2 linked regions of the Alligator mississippiensis genome follow. Each later gene encodes a partner of the first gene's protein in a complex. Links are inferred from orthologs where the notes say so. Each region holds a gene or a part of one and is shown in the gene's direction. Other genes may lie near its edges.

The links. Proteins that work in one complex are often made in the same cells at the same time.
Region 2: TRAPPC11 (region 1) and TRAPPC12 share a complex: the UniProt entries of both Homo sapiens proteins name them as parts of the multisubunit TRAPP (transport protein particle) complex. The link is inferred for Alligator mississippiensis from reciprocal best matches to the Homo sapiens genes TRAPPC11 and TRAPPC12.

The regions. Positions count from the first base shown.
Region 1 is NC_081825.1:71,702,975-71,710,012, reverse strand, and holds the start of TRAPPC11 (trafficking protein particle complex subunit 11), read left to right. Parts: upstream 1-3,983; 5' UTR 3,984-4,091; intron 4,092-4,775; 5' UTR 4,776-4,793; coding exon 4,794-4,997; intron 4,998-6,630; coding exon 6,631-6,800; intron 6,801-7,038. Other genes in the region: RWDD4 (RWD domain-containing protein 4), read right to left, coding at 1,186-1,266, 3,628-3,651. UniProt on the Homo sapiens protein: Involved in endoplasmic reticulum to Golgi apparatus trafficking at a very early stage.
Region 2 is NC_081824.1:36,432,588-36,440,241, reverse strand, and holds the start of TRAPPC12 (trafficking protein particle complex subunit 12), read left to right. Parts: upstream 1-4,583; 5' UTR 4,584-4,909; coding exon of another isoform or gene 4,910-4,954; exon of another isoform or gene 4,955-4,969; intron 4,970-5,013; coding exon of another isoform or gene 5,014-5,055; exon of another isoform or gene 5,056-5,158; intron 5,159-5,187; exon of another isoform or gene 5,188-5,268; intron 5,269-6,444; 5' UTR 6,445-6,449; coding exon 6,450-7,654. Other genes in the region: EIPR1 (EARP and GARP complex-interacting protein 1), read right to left, coding at 5,014-5,055. UniProt on the Homo sapiens protein: Component of the TRAPP complex, which is involved in endoplasmic reticulum to Golgi apparatus trafficking at a very early stage.

The DNA.
Region 1 (7,038 bases):
TTGGATTAAAAGACTAAAACCGAAGTCTTCTCTACTGCCTAAGCGAATGATCTAGCCAGAAGGATATAGAATCTTGTTTAATCTTGCTCTCTTGAATCATCTTGCTCAGGAGAATCTTGAATTTTTTTCTGCATTCTCTCGGGAGGTAGAAAATATAGGTTTCTACTCCTACTGGCTCAGGTGATCACTAAACTTAGGCTTTTCACATACAGGGCGAGTTCTTTAACTACCAGGATGCTACGTAAGAGACCATCACTGCAACCTTCTAAAAGACTGCCTAAAACGTAGCAGGTTCTCTTTGCCTTTTTTAAAGAAATTATTCTGGCATCTAACTGCAGAAGAAAGGTTTTGAGCTATGAATCTTCTCTGGTGCTTAAGTATTGATAGTTAAGGTATGGCTTGAGACGTACTCCTGTTCTTTTTCCCTCATTGGCTTGCTTAGGAGGTGCTCTCCTCAGTCTGCTGGCTTTATAGATCTAATTCTGAGATGCCTAATTCTGACCATGCTTTATACAGGGACCCCATCAGACCAGGCCTCTCTCGGTCTGCTATCTGGTACCATGTCAACTGGTACAGCCTGTTCCATGGTTGGGTTGTCGATGACTAAACTGGTATCCCCACCTGGGCTAGCCTGGGTGAGGAGGGCGTGTGGACGCTCAGCAGGACTAAAAACAAGACCTGTCAAAGGGCACATGAGCTCCCTGCGAGCCAATCGCCTTCCATACTTGGAGGGGAGATGGGTGTCACCAGGTCACTCTGCCCAAAGAATCACCAGTGATGCACAGCATCCAAGGTGCCTCAATGGCCTCAGGACTGACTTGACTTTACATAGAACTGTTGATTCCATTCTAGAAGCCAGATGCCCAGTGCCTTTAACACACCAGAGAGATGACACTCAAGGCACAACACACACAAAAAAACAGGCTCTGGGGAGAAAAGATAGCCAGTCATCCTGGGGTATCTGCCACTATTGCAGGTGGGGCTGAACTACTTTTAGGGGCTCCGACATGGTCAGACTGATCTGCCGCAAGTAATCTGTCAACATGTCCATGTTCCAAGTAGCTTCATCAATCTAGTTCCTTATGCTATAATTGTCCACTAGGTGAATAGCCATATGTTTTAAGAAACTATTTTGTAATATATACAACATATTCCATTTAGCTACAAAACTTCATGAAGTCTTACCCTGTACTGAAAGGAAACAGGACTAAGTTCTCTAAAACGCTCATCTCCTTCGTAAATAGAACGTAAAGCTTCTAGTTCCATCTAGAAAGATGAGATAAAGAAAACAGTTAACAATTTTAATCTAATACTTCAGTTTAATGTTTTTCTAAATGTTTTATGTAAAAAGGTCAAGCCAGAACAACCACACATACACCACACACACGCAAAGTATACATTCATTGAATTGTGTTTACATAGGTCAATAGATCCCATAAAAATACAGCCAACAAATGTAACTGATTCAGTCTTGTTTGGTACTACTATAATCCAATTTCAGTTTTCCAGAAAACAAGTTTAAACACAGGATACCAATCTAAATTATTCTGGCTAAGCTACACAAGGGTATCAAACATACTCCAGGGTAAGCTACACAAGGGTGTCCAAACATTAGCATAAGCTAATAATCCATCTTCATAAAAAAACTTTCAGAAACTCCTCAATTGAGTGAACATTATAGGATTTCAGACAACTAGGACTTTTTAAATCTTAATTTTGTGACTTTCCATGGGAAAATATCAAACAATATCTAAAGAATGCTTCTATCTTCATTACACTTGCTATAAATAAAATAGCTCCTCACTTACAAGATCCCTTTTTATGAAAGGGGTCCAAGTAGATCTGTCCCCAAATAGAATCCAAAGGTGCCTGTAGACATGTTGGAAAGGCTGCTCCAACGTGCTGTAATTACGTGCTGGAGTGTGATAATTAGTTTGCTCCAGCCAGTCTCTGCATCTTGTGTATAGAATCAAAGAAACTTAGGGTTGGAAGGGACCTGCTCAAAGCAGGACCATCCCCAACTAGATCATCCCAGTCAAGGCTCTGTTTAGCCGGGTCTTGAAAACCTCCAAGGATGGAGGTTCCACCACCCAGAGCCGTCCCGAGGATACGGTGAATCAGGGCGACCGCCCCAGACTCCGTACTTTGGGGGGGCCCCACAGAGCCAGGCAGAGTGGTCGCAGGCCCTCCCACAGGGCGCACCTGGAGCTTGTGGCCCAGCCCCACACTGCGGAAGAAGCACAGAGATTTCCCCCACCCCCTTTGCAGGGGTACCACAGCCCTGTGCAGTGTTAAGGGGACCCCACGCAGGCTGATTTGCCCCAGGCCTCGCACCCCATTATGGTTGGCTCTGCCACCACCTCTCTAGGTAACCTGTTCCAGTACTTCACCAGTCCCCTAGTGAGAAAGTTCTTCCTAATATCCAACTAAACCTCCCTTGCTGTACCTTCAGACCATTAACAAGTTGAAGTTGAATGAGCTTTAGGTCAAGCACCCTCGCTGCTATTTTGACATGCATGGAGGCTGATACATGAGATGCTGCAGCATTTTAATTAGAGCAGCTCCACCCTCAGAGCAACTCCAGTTAAAGCACCCACCCCCAAAGCACATGTAAAAATGCCCCAAGATGCCACTGACTGGCACAATTATAGCATTATGCCATTCAACCTGATGTTGGATCCACTGAAGTTGTAAACCCACAATAATCAAACAAAAGCCTCCTGGCTAATCTTTTCATAATAAGGACTACGGAAAAAATGAAAACTTTTTCTGGAGCTTGTCAGCTGCCCAATGCAGCCAAATGACACGGGAGGTGATTTTTTCCTACTGCCCGTGCCAAATGTTGTATCACCTTCTCATACCCTTTCAAGTTACAGCTTTAAAAATTACATTTGTAGAAACAGGAGTCAGTGATGCCAGGTAGCTGCAGAAAAAAAGAAGAAAGAAACAAAAGGCCGTTTTGGGCTGCGCTTTGACAAGAGCACTAGACGTAAAGCCAGGCCAGGTTCACCCTTTAGCAGGCCCGAGGCAAACAAACTTGTGGGCCCCCAGCTGCAGATGAAGCTTTTATGACTTTTTTCACTCAATAATTGTAATATGTCAAATAACCACAACTGCTCCCTCTTCACTTAGGGCCCCCGGCACATGCTCAGTCTGCGTATGCCTTAATCCAGCCCTGCGTAAAGCACAGGAGGCGACAGTGCTGCTCCACTTGGCACCAGTGATCTCCGTTCACACCTGGCAGCACCAGCTAACTGCTGGTGCCAGGTTCCCTCAAGCTGCTATGGCCCTGCTCCCTCCTCCAGCTCTCAGCACCTGCCCCATGGGCCATCCCTGTGCACTAGACGCTGCCTTCAAATCAGGCCTCCCCTACGTTACATTTATGGCGGGCCACACAATAAACGGTACCTGCAGGTTCCGGGGGTGGGGTGGGGTGGGGTGGGAAGGACGGACCAGCCCTAGAGACAAGGCAAGGCCAGACCCCCCCCAAGCAGCGCCCGCGGCCTCTTTAAGGCAGGCGCCGGGCGGGGGTGCCCGAGAGCAGCCCCGCCCCCGCGGTGTGTGACGTCTCCCCGCGGGGTGAGGTGGGGGCAGGAGAGCCCTGTGACGTGGAGTGGGGGATCTCACCTCCTGGTCTTCGTTCGCCGTCATGGCGCGTGAGGGGGAGGAGACCTCCCCCCGGAGGTCCCTGCCGCTGCCCGCCCTCAGCCCGACCCGGCAGCACGCGAACACGCAGGAAAGCCGCGCACATGCGCAAACGCCAAGCCCCGCCCTGCCGCTCCAGTTCCTCTGCCAGGCTGCTTCATGGATCGCCGATTGGTCCCGGTCCCAAGTCGCCGGGCCCGCCCCCTCCCTCTAGCGATTGGCCAGTTTCGTGGCCCCGCCCCTCGCGCTCCCCGCGGACCGTCTCCATGCGCGCCAATGATGGGCTTGGTCGTTGGGTTGGGCGCCGCCGATTGGCGCAGCGGGCTGTCAATCGGACGCTTGGTGCTTGCTTCCGCAGGTGGAGCTGCCTGGCTCTCCTGGCTATTCTCTGCTGTCTGCAGTGGTGCCGGCTGGGCTGGGCGGGAGGAACTGTGGGAGCACGGGAGGTGAGAACGCTGCCTGGACCCGGGGGGCTGCGTTTGTGTCCCCACGGCTGCTCCCTTGGCCTCGTGACTGGGTCCCAGCCCCGGTGCAACCTGGAGGCCTCTGCCCCGGGGCTGAGCATGCGCGGTGGGCGCCTGCTGGGGGCTTGGGGAGTATCCGCAGCTTCGCACCAAGCCCTAGGCCAGGGGGCCTGGGTGGGGGCAGGAGACTTGCCTGGCCTGGCTGCCCAGCCCCGCAGACTTGGCGGTTGAGCTCTGCTTAGTTGAATTTGGGAGTCTGGTTGTTGGGCTTTGGCCCATTCAGCTTGGAATTGGTCTGGCTGTGAACAAGATACAAAACAAAAACCTCTCTGGGTGTCTCTAGTCAGGCTTGGAAAGAAGCAAGAGGTGAAGATTTCCCAGTGCCCTCTGTCTTCAGGGAGCAACCCTGGTCAAGGGTTCATCAAGGCGTGAGACCTTCATCAAGGTTCCTTAAAAACAAAACCATCTTAAAAGAAAAAATATCAGTGGCTGAGAAATGCCTGCATCTTCCATGTTCCCAAAATACATTTTGCCTCAGTGGAGCAGGCCAGCCTCTTGCTTGCAGGGGCCAGCTTGCTTTCGTTAGGAGAATGATGGCTGTTGCATGCGGTCAGGAACTGCTTGCTCAGGAAGTGGTCTGAAATATGTGGCACTTTTGTATTTCAGGGTTAAGACGAGCTCAAGATGACCCCGACGCAGTGGGACTTCCCTGTGGAGCTGTGCTGTCGTCCTATGGCATTTGTAACCCTCACGGGCTTGGATCTTATATACAATGCTGTTCACCGTGCAGTCTGGGATGCATTTTGTGCTAATAGAAGAGCAGATCGAGTCCCGATTTCGTTCAAAGTACTTCCTGGTGATCATGAATATCCCAAATGCAGAACAAAGGTATAGTCCAAAGTCAGTCTATCTATTTCTCTCATTAAAAAAATATTCAATCTTATAGGAGAGATCAAATTTTTATTGTAAAATGTTTGCTGTTCGTGATTACTCTGTAAAACTTTACTACTACTTTCTGCTATGTGGAAGGCAGGTAGAATCTCTGCTGAGACCATATTTAACACAGACCTACCTGTGGGTGTTTTCTTAATCTGCACTTTTGCATTCAGGTTGGCTTTTAGTGGTCTGTTGCCTATGAACAGCTACTCTCTGGTCAGTGATGGCATTCCCAGGGAGTTAGTGCTCTACCACAGGCTTGTGGGTGCCTATACATGAGCAGACTTGATTAATCACGTCTGCTAGAGTGTGGCAGTTCCTGTGCTCCAGTAGCCTCCTGTGACTCTTATATCAGTGTCTCCGCACTTCAAAATGGCAGGGGGGGCGTTTTATCTAAAGCTCACTTAACAAGCTTTAGATAAAGCGGCCCTCCCCCCCCCCCCCCCACACCATTTTGAAGTGTGGGGAGGCCACTCTAATTAAAGCACCCTCCGTCCACCTCCTGGAGCATGTGTATAAGCGCCCTGTGTGTTTTTTAGAAATGATATTGAATTGATCCTTAATTATGGTCTCAACAGAGGTTCTGGATTATCTCTGGACTATCTTTTTATAACCCTTATGTCCGTTAGTGGGTTAACTGCTTTGTTTAATCCTTTCTGATGTCTTCAACCCACTGTTGCCTCTCTTATCAGTCCCCTTCCCATCTCCTTTCCCTATCCTTATATTTAAGTTATTTTTTCCCCACTTGGTATCTTTCCTCTCTGCAAGTACATTCACATCATCTGATGAGGTAGACACTCACCTATGAAAGATTATAACTTTCCGAAGGAGTTGGTCTTTGAGGTGCTACTCTGACCTGCTTTCTGCCTGAATTCAGATTAACATGGCTCTTTCTACACTCTAGTTACATGAAATCTGGAAGAATTACCTGTTAAAGTTATAAATCTGTAACTTGGACAACATCCGAACTCCAGTTATTCAATTTTGACTGAGTGAGTTGCAGTAGAAGATAGTATTTGTAGCCTACTTACTGCGCTGCAGAAGGAGTTAGGAAGTACTGTCAAAGTTTGGCATCTGATAAGCAGCATAGTCCATACCAAGGGCTGAGAACTAGACACCAAAAGACCTGGCTTCAGTTCTCAAATTTCGACTTCTTTTTTGCTCTACAATACTGGTTTGGTTGGTTTGTTTGTGTTTTTTTTTTTTCCTTTTGCACAAAATGATTCCATAAGTGAAGAATATAACTTTTTATCCCTGGACATAACTGGACGTAATGTGTATTTTAGTATTGTATTCTTTTTCTCTCCTTCCGGTCCATCCACTCCCATCTCAGTTCCCTGGGATTTCAAAGACTTCTGTTTTTATCTAATGTTCCAGTGATGTTTGTGTGCTTATAATACCAGTTGGTTAAATATGATGGCTAAATGAAATCATAACCAAAAGATAGCATTAAGTTTCAGTGTAGAAGGCAAGATTGTTGGATAAAAGATGATAAATGCATCCTCAAGATCAACAGTATACAAAGAGTTCCCAAATATGGCAACTTTAGTTGGGATTGATAACTGATCGATTTTAACAATTTCAGAGGACATCTTATGAGTGGTACATTCCAAAAGGGATACTGAAGACTGGTTGGATGAACAAACATCTGAATCTGGTACCTGCACTTGTGGTTGTGTTCTATGAACTGGACTGGGATGAGACACAATGGAAAGAAAAACAGTCAGAATGTGCAACTAGAGTTGAAATTGTGAGGTACACTTTGTGTTTGTATTGTCATCCAGGTTAAACAAATCAGCAGTCGGGTGTAGGTTGCACAGTACTTAGACTTGCTATACAACAGTTTAATCTCTTTTCATAATTTCTCACGTCGTGTTTCTTGTCATAATTTTACGGTGGGCTGCCTTGGGGCCCCTCTAGACGTACAGGTGAAGGCGTGATGGGATCTGATGCACAATCCACACAATTGCACTTCCTGTCATGCCACACGTGC
Region 2 (7,654 bases), on another chromosome or scaffold:
ACCCACCTGAGCTTCCCGTGCCAGGGTAACCACATGATCCAGGCCAGAAGCCCCTGTTGGGGCTTCAGGCTGGGGGGGGGGGGGGGGGGGGCAGGCAGGCCCTGGTGTTGAAGGAGTCCTCCAGGGCTTCCCCTCGATCCTACTACCCTTGGTTTCTGTCATCTTTGACAGGAACCAAGGGCAGATATATTTTAATTTTCTAAATTTTTTTAGGGGCCCCATAGGCCAGATAGAACAGCCTCGTGGGCCATATTTCGCCCACCCCTGGTGTAGCATGAACTGAACTAATGTAGCTGATGTTAACATAGAGCGTAATAGTAGTGAAATGTAACCATGTTAGTTTTGTCCTCTAAGTAACTTGAAAATTCCATTTTGTTTTCTTTTGCTTGACATAAGTGAATGAACTCTGCATGCCCTTTTATGAATGAGTGTATGTGAAAGGGTAAATGGTGAGAGAATGGCATAGAGACAGGACAAGAAGATTTAGCTGTTTATGTAAGCAACAAGGTACCAAATGTAAGTTACCAACCAGTAAGCTAATTAATAATTGGTTGAAGAATCCCTTTGAGGCCTAGGGCACAAAGGAGGTAACGAGGAAGAATGCGCACATCCTGCCAGATGGGCAGCAAGGACACTCCAAGGCTGAGATACCAACTTTTATGACCATACTGACTTTGGGCTGAGATAAGCAGAAGATGGATGAGAAACAACTGCAAAAATAGAAATTGCATATGGAAAAACCCCGAAGTGCTAAACAAAGGATGCCAACCCCCATAAAAAGAGGAATCTAGAATATACCAGGTTCAGTATATCCAACTCTCTCAACTGCTGTTTCTTTGGAGCACAGACATGTCTGTTCACCCTGCTCCAAGCTGCTATCTCCAGGATCTCTCTCTCTCTCAATAAGACCTGGGCTGGCCACCCAGTGCTATTATTGAACAACTGCTGCTGGTAACTATGACAGAATGGAATGGTTGTTTTTAGTTTGTGTGCACCCGTGTGTAATGTTGTGTATGATGATTTGTGTGTGTGTTTATACGAGTGGTGTGTCTGAACCTCTATGTCCAATTCATGTAATCAATAAACGCAGCATTTTGCCTTATCCCCCTTTATCAGGTCTTGCTCTTGATTTAATAAATTGGTAATTCAAAGTAACAAGGGGCAGATCTAAGATTCAGAGTGACCTCAGCAAATTAGAGGATTGGATCAAAAAGAATCTCATGAGGCTCAATAAGGACAAGTACAAAGTCCTGCACTTAGGATGGAAAATCCTATGCACTGGTACAGGTCAGGGACCGACTGGCTAAGCCACAGCTTTGCTAAAAAGGACCTGGGGTTACAGCAGATAAGAAGCTGAATACGAGTCAACACTGTGCCCTTTGCATGAAGAAGGCTAACAGCATACTGGGCTGCATTAGCCTGAGTATTAACAGCAGATCAAGAGAAGTGATTATTCCCTTCTACTCAACACTGGTAAGGCCACATCTGGAGTACTGTTTGGTTTTGGGCCTCCCACTACAGAAAGGATGTGGACAAATTGGAGAGAGGCCAGCAGAGGACAACAAAAATGGATAGGGGGCTGGGACACATGACTTATGAGGAGTGTAACCATACATTCAGGCTTGGCTGGACATTCCCAGATTTCAGAGGCTGGCCCCAGCCGGATAATAAATTAAAATAAGCATCCTGGGTACAGGATGGAGTGGCAGAAGCTGTGAAATAGGAAGGCCTAGCAGACAGTAAAACTGCCCTAAAATCAGTTAGCTTGATTAGTGGAATGACCATTAAAAAGGGGAGATGACAAGTAAAGAACAATAAGTCACTGACTCCCTTAGCTGTCTGAATAGTATTACTAGAGCTGCACCAAGCTGCATCAGTGACTTGAGGTGGGTAGGGGGGGCAGCATCCCAGGTTTCACATTGTCCCATACAGTCACCCTACTTACAAGGAGAGGCTGGAGGACCCGAGCTTATTTAACCCAGAGAAGAGAAGACTGAGTGGGGATTTAACAGCAGTCTTCAACTGCCTAAAGGGTGGTTCCAGCAACGATGGAGCTAAACTGTTCTTAGTCATGGCAGATGAAACAAGGAGCAATGGTCTCAAGTTGCAGCATGAGAAGTTTAGGTTAGATATTAGGAAAATTCTCACTAGGAAGGTAGTAAAGCACTGGAACAGGTTCCACAGAGAAGCTGTGGAATCTCCAACCTTGCAAGTTTTTAAGACCTGGCTAGACAAAGTCTTGGCTGGAGTAATAGTCACGGATAGTTCTGCTTTGAGCAGGGACCTCCCAAGGTCCCTTCCAACCCTAATTTTCTATGATTCTGTGTACAAGATAATTTCTTGTAAACATGATCAAAATCATTGTCAAGAGTGAAGATAAAAGATTTGGCAGATACAAAATGACATGAATGTTGTATTCAAGGAACTGAGCAAAGCTGCTTATTTATTAGCCAGTTTAATGAAAACCTGATGATCTGCATGACAGCAAGATTAAACTTTGTCACATGGTGCTAACTTTAATGATGCCCAGGTTACAGCTACCTTCCCATATAACCTGTTGCCCTTGTGCTCCCACTAGGCCAGAGTCCCCAGACAGCTACTGTGTATTGTCCAGAAAGTAAGTCTGTGCTGCTCCTGTTGTGAACAGCAATTGTGGCAGGAGCTAGATAGTTTGAGAGCCTTATCTAACTTGTCATCAAATGTACTGGGTATTACAGATGGATTTCATTCTATGACCCCAAATAAGATTTAAGCCTCAGTTATCAACCTGAGTGTAACATTTAATTCTGTGTCCTGGCCATAAAATGGTGAGCAGAGGTAGGCAACAGTAGTGACATGCCCTAAGGGGGTGACCACGGCACCAGACCCAGTTGCCCACCCCTCATAAGACTACTGATAATGAGCAATGGTCAGACATGAGAAAGTATTGTATCCCATAAAGAATGGGTTGCGCCCTAGCAAACACAGCACACAAAAAATTAATTGCTATAGCAACCCCATGCTGTCACCCAGCCAAAGAATCTTTATTAAGTATTTCATTCAGTTGCCCTTTCTTTGAACATCTGAGTTTTGAAGCCTACAAGAAACTACCCCATTGCAACATGAAAATAAGCCAACAGTTTGATGTCTGAGTTTCCCACGTGGGACAAATTCAGAAAGAAACTGCAACACCAGTAACAATATTTGAATAGGATCTAGACCCAAGGTGACCAAGGTACAGCCTTCAGGGGTTCCCATATCTCCAAGAGTTTGGTGGCAGAGTAAACTGCAGAGGCTCCTGGAGACAAAGCTTTTAACACTGTCACCACTCATCCTGCTGACCTAATTTCTGGACCCCTAGCGAGCCCCATGGATGCTGGCTGGCACGGCCCCACATGCTGGATCAGCCCAGGCAAGGATTTTTGGGGTGACATTTTTTATGATATCACTCGCACATCACGGCAGATAGCATCCTGAACTGGATTCCTCCTCCCCGTGAAAGAAGCACACGTCTCCCTCGGTCTACAGGAGAGGAAAAAAAAGCACCCAGGAAGATCTCTTCAGAGACAGGGCAAAGCACTTACCCTGCGGCGGGGTTGAGGGTAAGGAAGTGATATGGAAGAAGCGAGGGCCGGGAAGGGGGCAACTGAGTGACAGTCATCAAGAAGCAGGGCCGGACAGGCTCTCTAGAGGTCAGTTAAGCCCGTGGTTCTCAACCTTTTGTAAACATTGATGGCTAGGCCCAACCCAGTAAACAGTTCAAGCAGAAAACAACCTCCTGGCCCTGCCAGGGCCCCTCACTCACAACCCACAGACCCCCATGCTCCCAACTCTGCTGGTGCCCCTCATTCCCAACCAGCTGCCCCTTGCCCAAGGCCCCAGGCCGCCAGTGTTGGGGCATTGGGGGGGGGAGGGGGAGGAGGGCACGCTGCCCTCACCTTCGCTAACCACTACTGTGCCGTCCCCTTGGGCCACAGCTCTACCCCAAATAGAACATGGGGTGGCAGGTGTTGCCTGTGCCCCCCTGCCATGATGTCTGTACTATAGTCCCCCTACCCCATAGACTTACCTGCTGGGAGCTGCAAGAACTGCTCTCCATGCTGCCTGGCTGCCATGTGCATGTGTGCATGCATGTGGTACCCGCTACCTGGTCACCCTCCTCCACTCCTCCCAGCCCCAAGCAGTCCCTCACAGGCTGGAACTCTGCCAGCCTGCAAGAGGAAACCCGCTGTTTCCCACGTTTCTCTTAACAAAGAAAATCCATTTTATGAAGTTTGTTTGAGACCCTTTCACATATTCCCGTGACCCACTTTTGGGTCATGACCCACGGGTTAAGAAACGTGGATCTAATCCAACCCGCCCTGCCCAAGGCAGGATCATCCCTACCCAAACCATCCCATCCCATCCAAGCCCACTGTCTAACCTCCCAGCAAAGCTCCCATCAACATGGATGCAACGCAAGACCTAAACCAGGCACAGGGAAGCAGGGGGCACCGCAGCCCACGTCCTGCTGCATGCAGGTTGCCAACACCCCCCAGGCCGCACCCCTCTGGCCACGGGAGAAGCATCCTTCCTGACCCCAAGCGCAGAGGTGGGTGTGACTCTGCGCCCAGAGCAAGAGCCCGGAGCCAGAGGCTTGCGGCTCAAAGCCTCAGCAGGACAGGCGCATTGTCACAGCACAGGGCCCGCGCGAGGTCCTCCGTGCAAAACTCAGAAACCCCGAGAGGGGACAGGGACTCCCTCCCGACGCCTGGGGGCAGAGCGTGGCCACAATTCCGCCCTGCGCCTGCGCACTCTGCTCCAGCGCCGCCAGTCCCTGGGAGCACCTGGAACGTACCACCTCGGGCGCGCACCTGGGAGGCGCGCACCTGCGAGGCGCAAACCTGGAACGTACCACCGGAGGCACGCACTTGGAACGTACCAACATTACCTGCAGCTCCCTGGCGCGTGGCAGGATCCGAGCCCGGGTAAGCATTAAGTCCTCCCCACACTTTCCCGCCCCGCCTCACGGAGCCGACACATACACACACACACCTGGAACTCCAGCCCATAAATCACCGGCGCGTCGTCTTCCATAGCTCTGCTGCCTCTAACTACGAGTTTTCAGTCCCTGCTTGCTGGGTGTTTTGCCCCCTGGTTTTTTGACCCACGGTGGTTTCCGTCACTCACTCAATTTCCGGGTGAGGAGGTAGCGCATGCGCTGCGAGGGGTTTGTCCTGCGTCTGGCGCAGGCGTAGTGGTTGCCGGCGCCTGTCCGGGAAGAGGTTCGGGGCGCCGAGCCGGCAGCAGGTGGGGCCGAGGCAGCGAGTCAGGGGCTGCTTTGGGGGCCCCGCGCGGGAGCGGGGCAGGCGGGGGCGCGGCGCTGCTGGCGGAGGAGCGCGTTGTACGCTCCCGAGAGTCGTTTGCTGCCGTTAGGCGGTGCACCCCGCTGTTGCCATGGCCACCGGAGCGACCGAGAGCCCCCGGGCCGGGCAGTCGTTGCGCGCGCAGCCGGCCGTGGTCGCGGGGAGCGGGACTTCCTGGGCCTCAGCACTGGGGCCCCCGCGGGAGCGGGTGAGGGGCGGGTTTGGAGGTAGGGGATGAGGTTAAGAAAACCCTGGTCCTCGCATCCCAAGTGCGCGGTAGAACCAGGGTCTGCTGCAGCGCATGGTAGCGTTGCCAGGTCTTCAATATGAAGTCATTGTATTGAAAGCTCTGAATTACCGTGTGTGCTGTACAGCTATCATACACTGAAAAAAATGCAAATAAGACTTTTTCTTATTTATATTCTATTGTCACTGTAAATCAGTGAGTGAGCGAGACCACACATTGTCAAAGTTGAAGCATTTTTTTATTTCGAGTCAAGCAGTCCTAAGAAAGCACTGACAGCAAACCCAAAAAGTCAGTTAAGACTCTCTATGAGTGATTTGGGCTTCGCATATGCTGCATCAATTAACCACCTAAAAAATTATCGCCTTTTTTGAACACTCTTACTATTATTGATTGTACGAGGGTTGAAATTATTGTACAGGTATGATCACGATCGTACACCTGGCAACACAGGTGCATTGGCAAATGCTATGTACCGGACACGTGTCAGCTGCTTGGGTTGGGCGGGGGTTGTTGTTCCAGAGCGCTTGTAGCAGAGCCTGGGCATCCCTGCTTGCCCCACTTTACCTGTGGCAGGTCAGAGTGTTAATAATGATCTTTGTGGGGGGCAGCTGCAGTGGTTAAATAGAACTGCGTGGGTACGTATGCCATTGGCCTTGTGTCCTTACAATGTTTTGTAACTCCACTGTTCATAATGGCAGAAAGTGGGTTTAAAACATTTTTGTGATCAAATGGATTTTTGTGATAAATTAACGTTCTAATAGTCAGATTACTGGATTTAGAAACTTTCATTCAGTCAATACTTTTGAGGTTTAGAATAGAAGTGTACTGTACTTGTTCAGCGAAACTAATTTCCTGCCTATTTTTCTTCTTTAGATGCAATGGAAAATAATGGAAGTAAGAATAAGAATGCTAAAAAGAGTGTTTCACATGAAGAGGATAGTGGGAATGAAGTTCAACAGGGAGCCCAGGAAGAACTTCTCTTTCATGAGGAAACCATTGATCTTGGTGGGGATGAATTTGAGTCTGAAGGGAATGAGACCATCTCAGAAGATTCCAATAACTTTTTAGATAAACTTAATGAACATATGATGGAGAGTGTTGTTATTTCAGATTCTCCAAACAATAGTGAAGATGACACTGGTGAACTTGGTTGCCTGCGGGAGATTGTAGAGCAAATGGAAGCCAAAAACATTCATGTAGCAGAAGAAGTGGATAAAGAAATCCTGAGTAATGAGAGTGAAATGGAACAAGAAGAAACACCCAAAGATGTTTCTGACATTGGAACAGATGATCAGGCATCTTTAAAGGAGGATTCAATTCAAGAAGCACCAAAAATTGGACAGAAGGTAGGAGACGAAGTTCCAATGGCCTCAACACCAAGTGATATTGATGAAAGTAAAACTGAGGAGCAAATATCATCACCACTTGCCAGCAGATCATCTCCTGACGCTGAGCCAATCCCTGTGTGCACCATTTTCAGTCAAGCAAGCCATGCTAATACTCAACTACAGTTGTTCCTACATGATGGCTTTGAGCCTCAGATGGTAAAGTCTCCTAGTTTTAGCAGTGTAAATGAGACTCCAGCGAAGTCTCAGCCACAGGTGGTTCAACCAAGTCCTAGTCTAAGCAAGTTTTTTGGTGATACTGTTAACACTAATACTCTAGCTTCTGACTTTTTTGATTCATTTACTACATCCGCTTTTATTTCTGTCAGTAATCCTAATGCAAGCTCTTCAGTACCAGAACAAATGTCATCTCTTTCTACAGTCGGAGATCGTTCACATGCCTCTGCTGACCCCATCTATGCAGGAGGAAATGAGAGATCTGAAGCAGGTGGCCCCCCAGCATCTTTAGAAATATCAGAGTCTCCCAAACCATTTTCCCAGATCCAGGCTGTTTTTTCTGGAAGTGATGACCCCTTTGCCACAGCCTTGAATATAAGTGAACTAGACAGAAGAAATGATGCCTGGCTTCCTAGTGACGAAACCAGAAATGTTTTAATCTCAGTAGCCACACAGCAGTACAGCACCGTGTTCATAGACAAAGAGAACCTTGCTATGCCTGGATTAAAATTTGACAATAT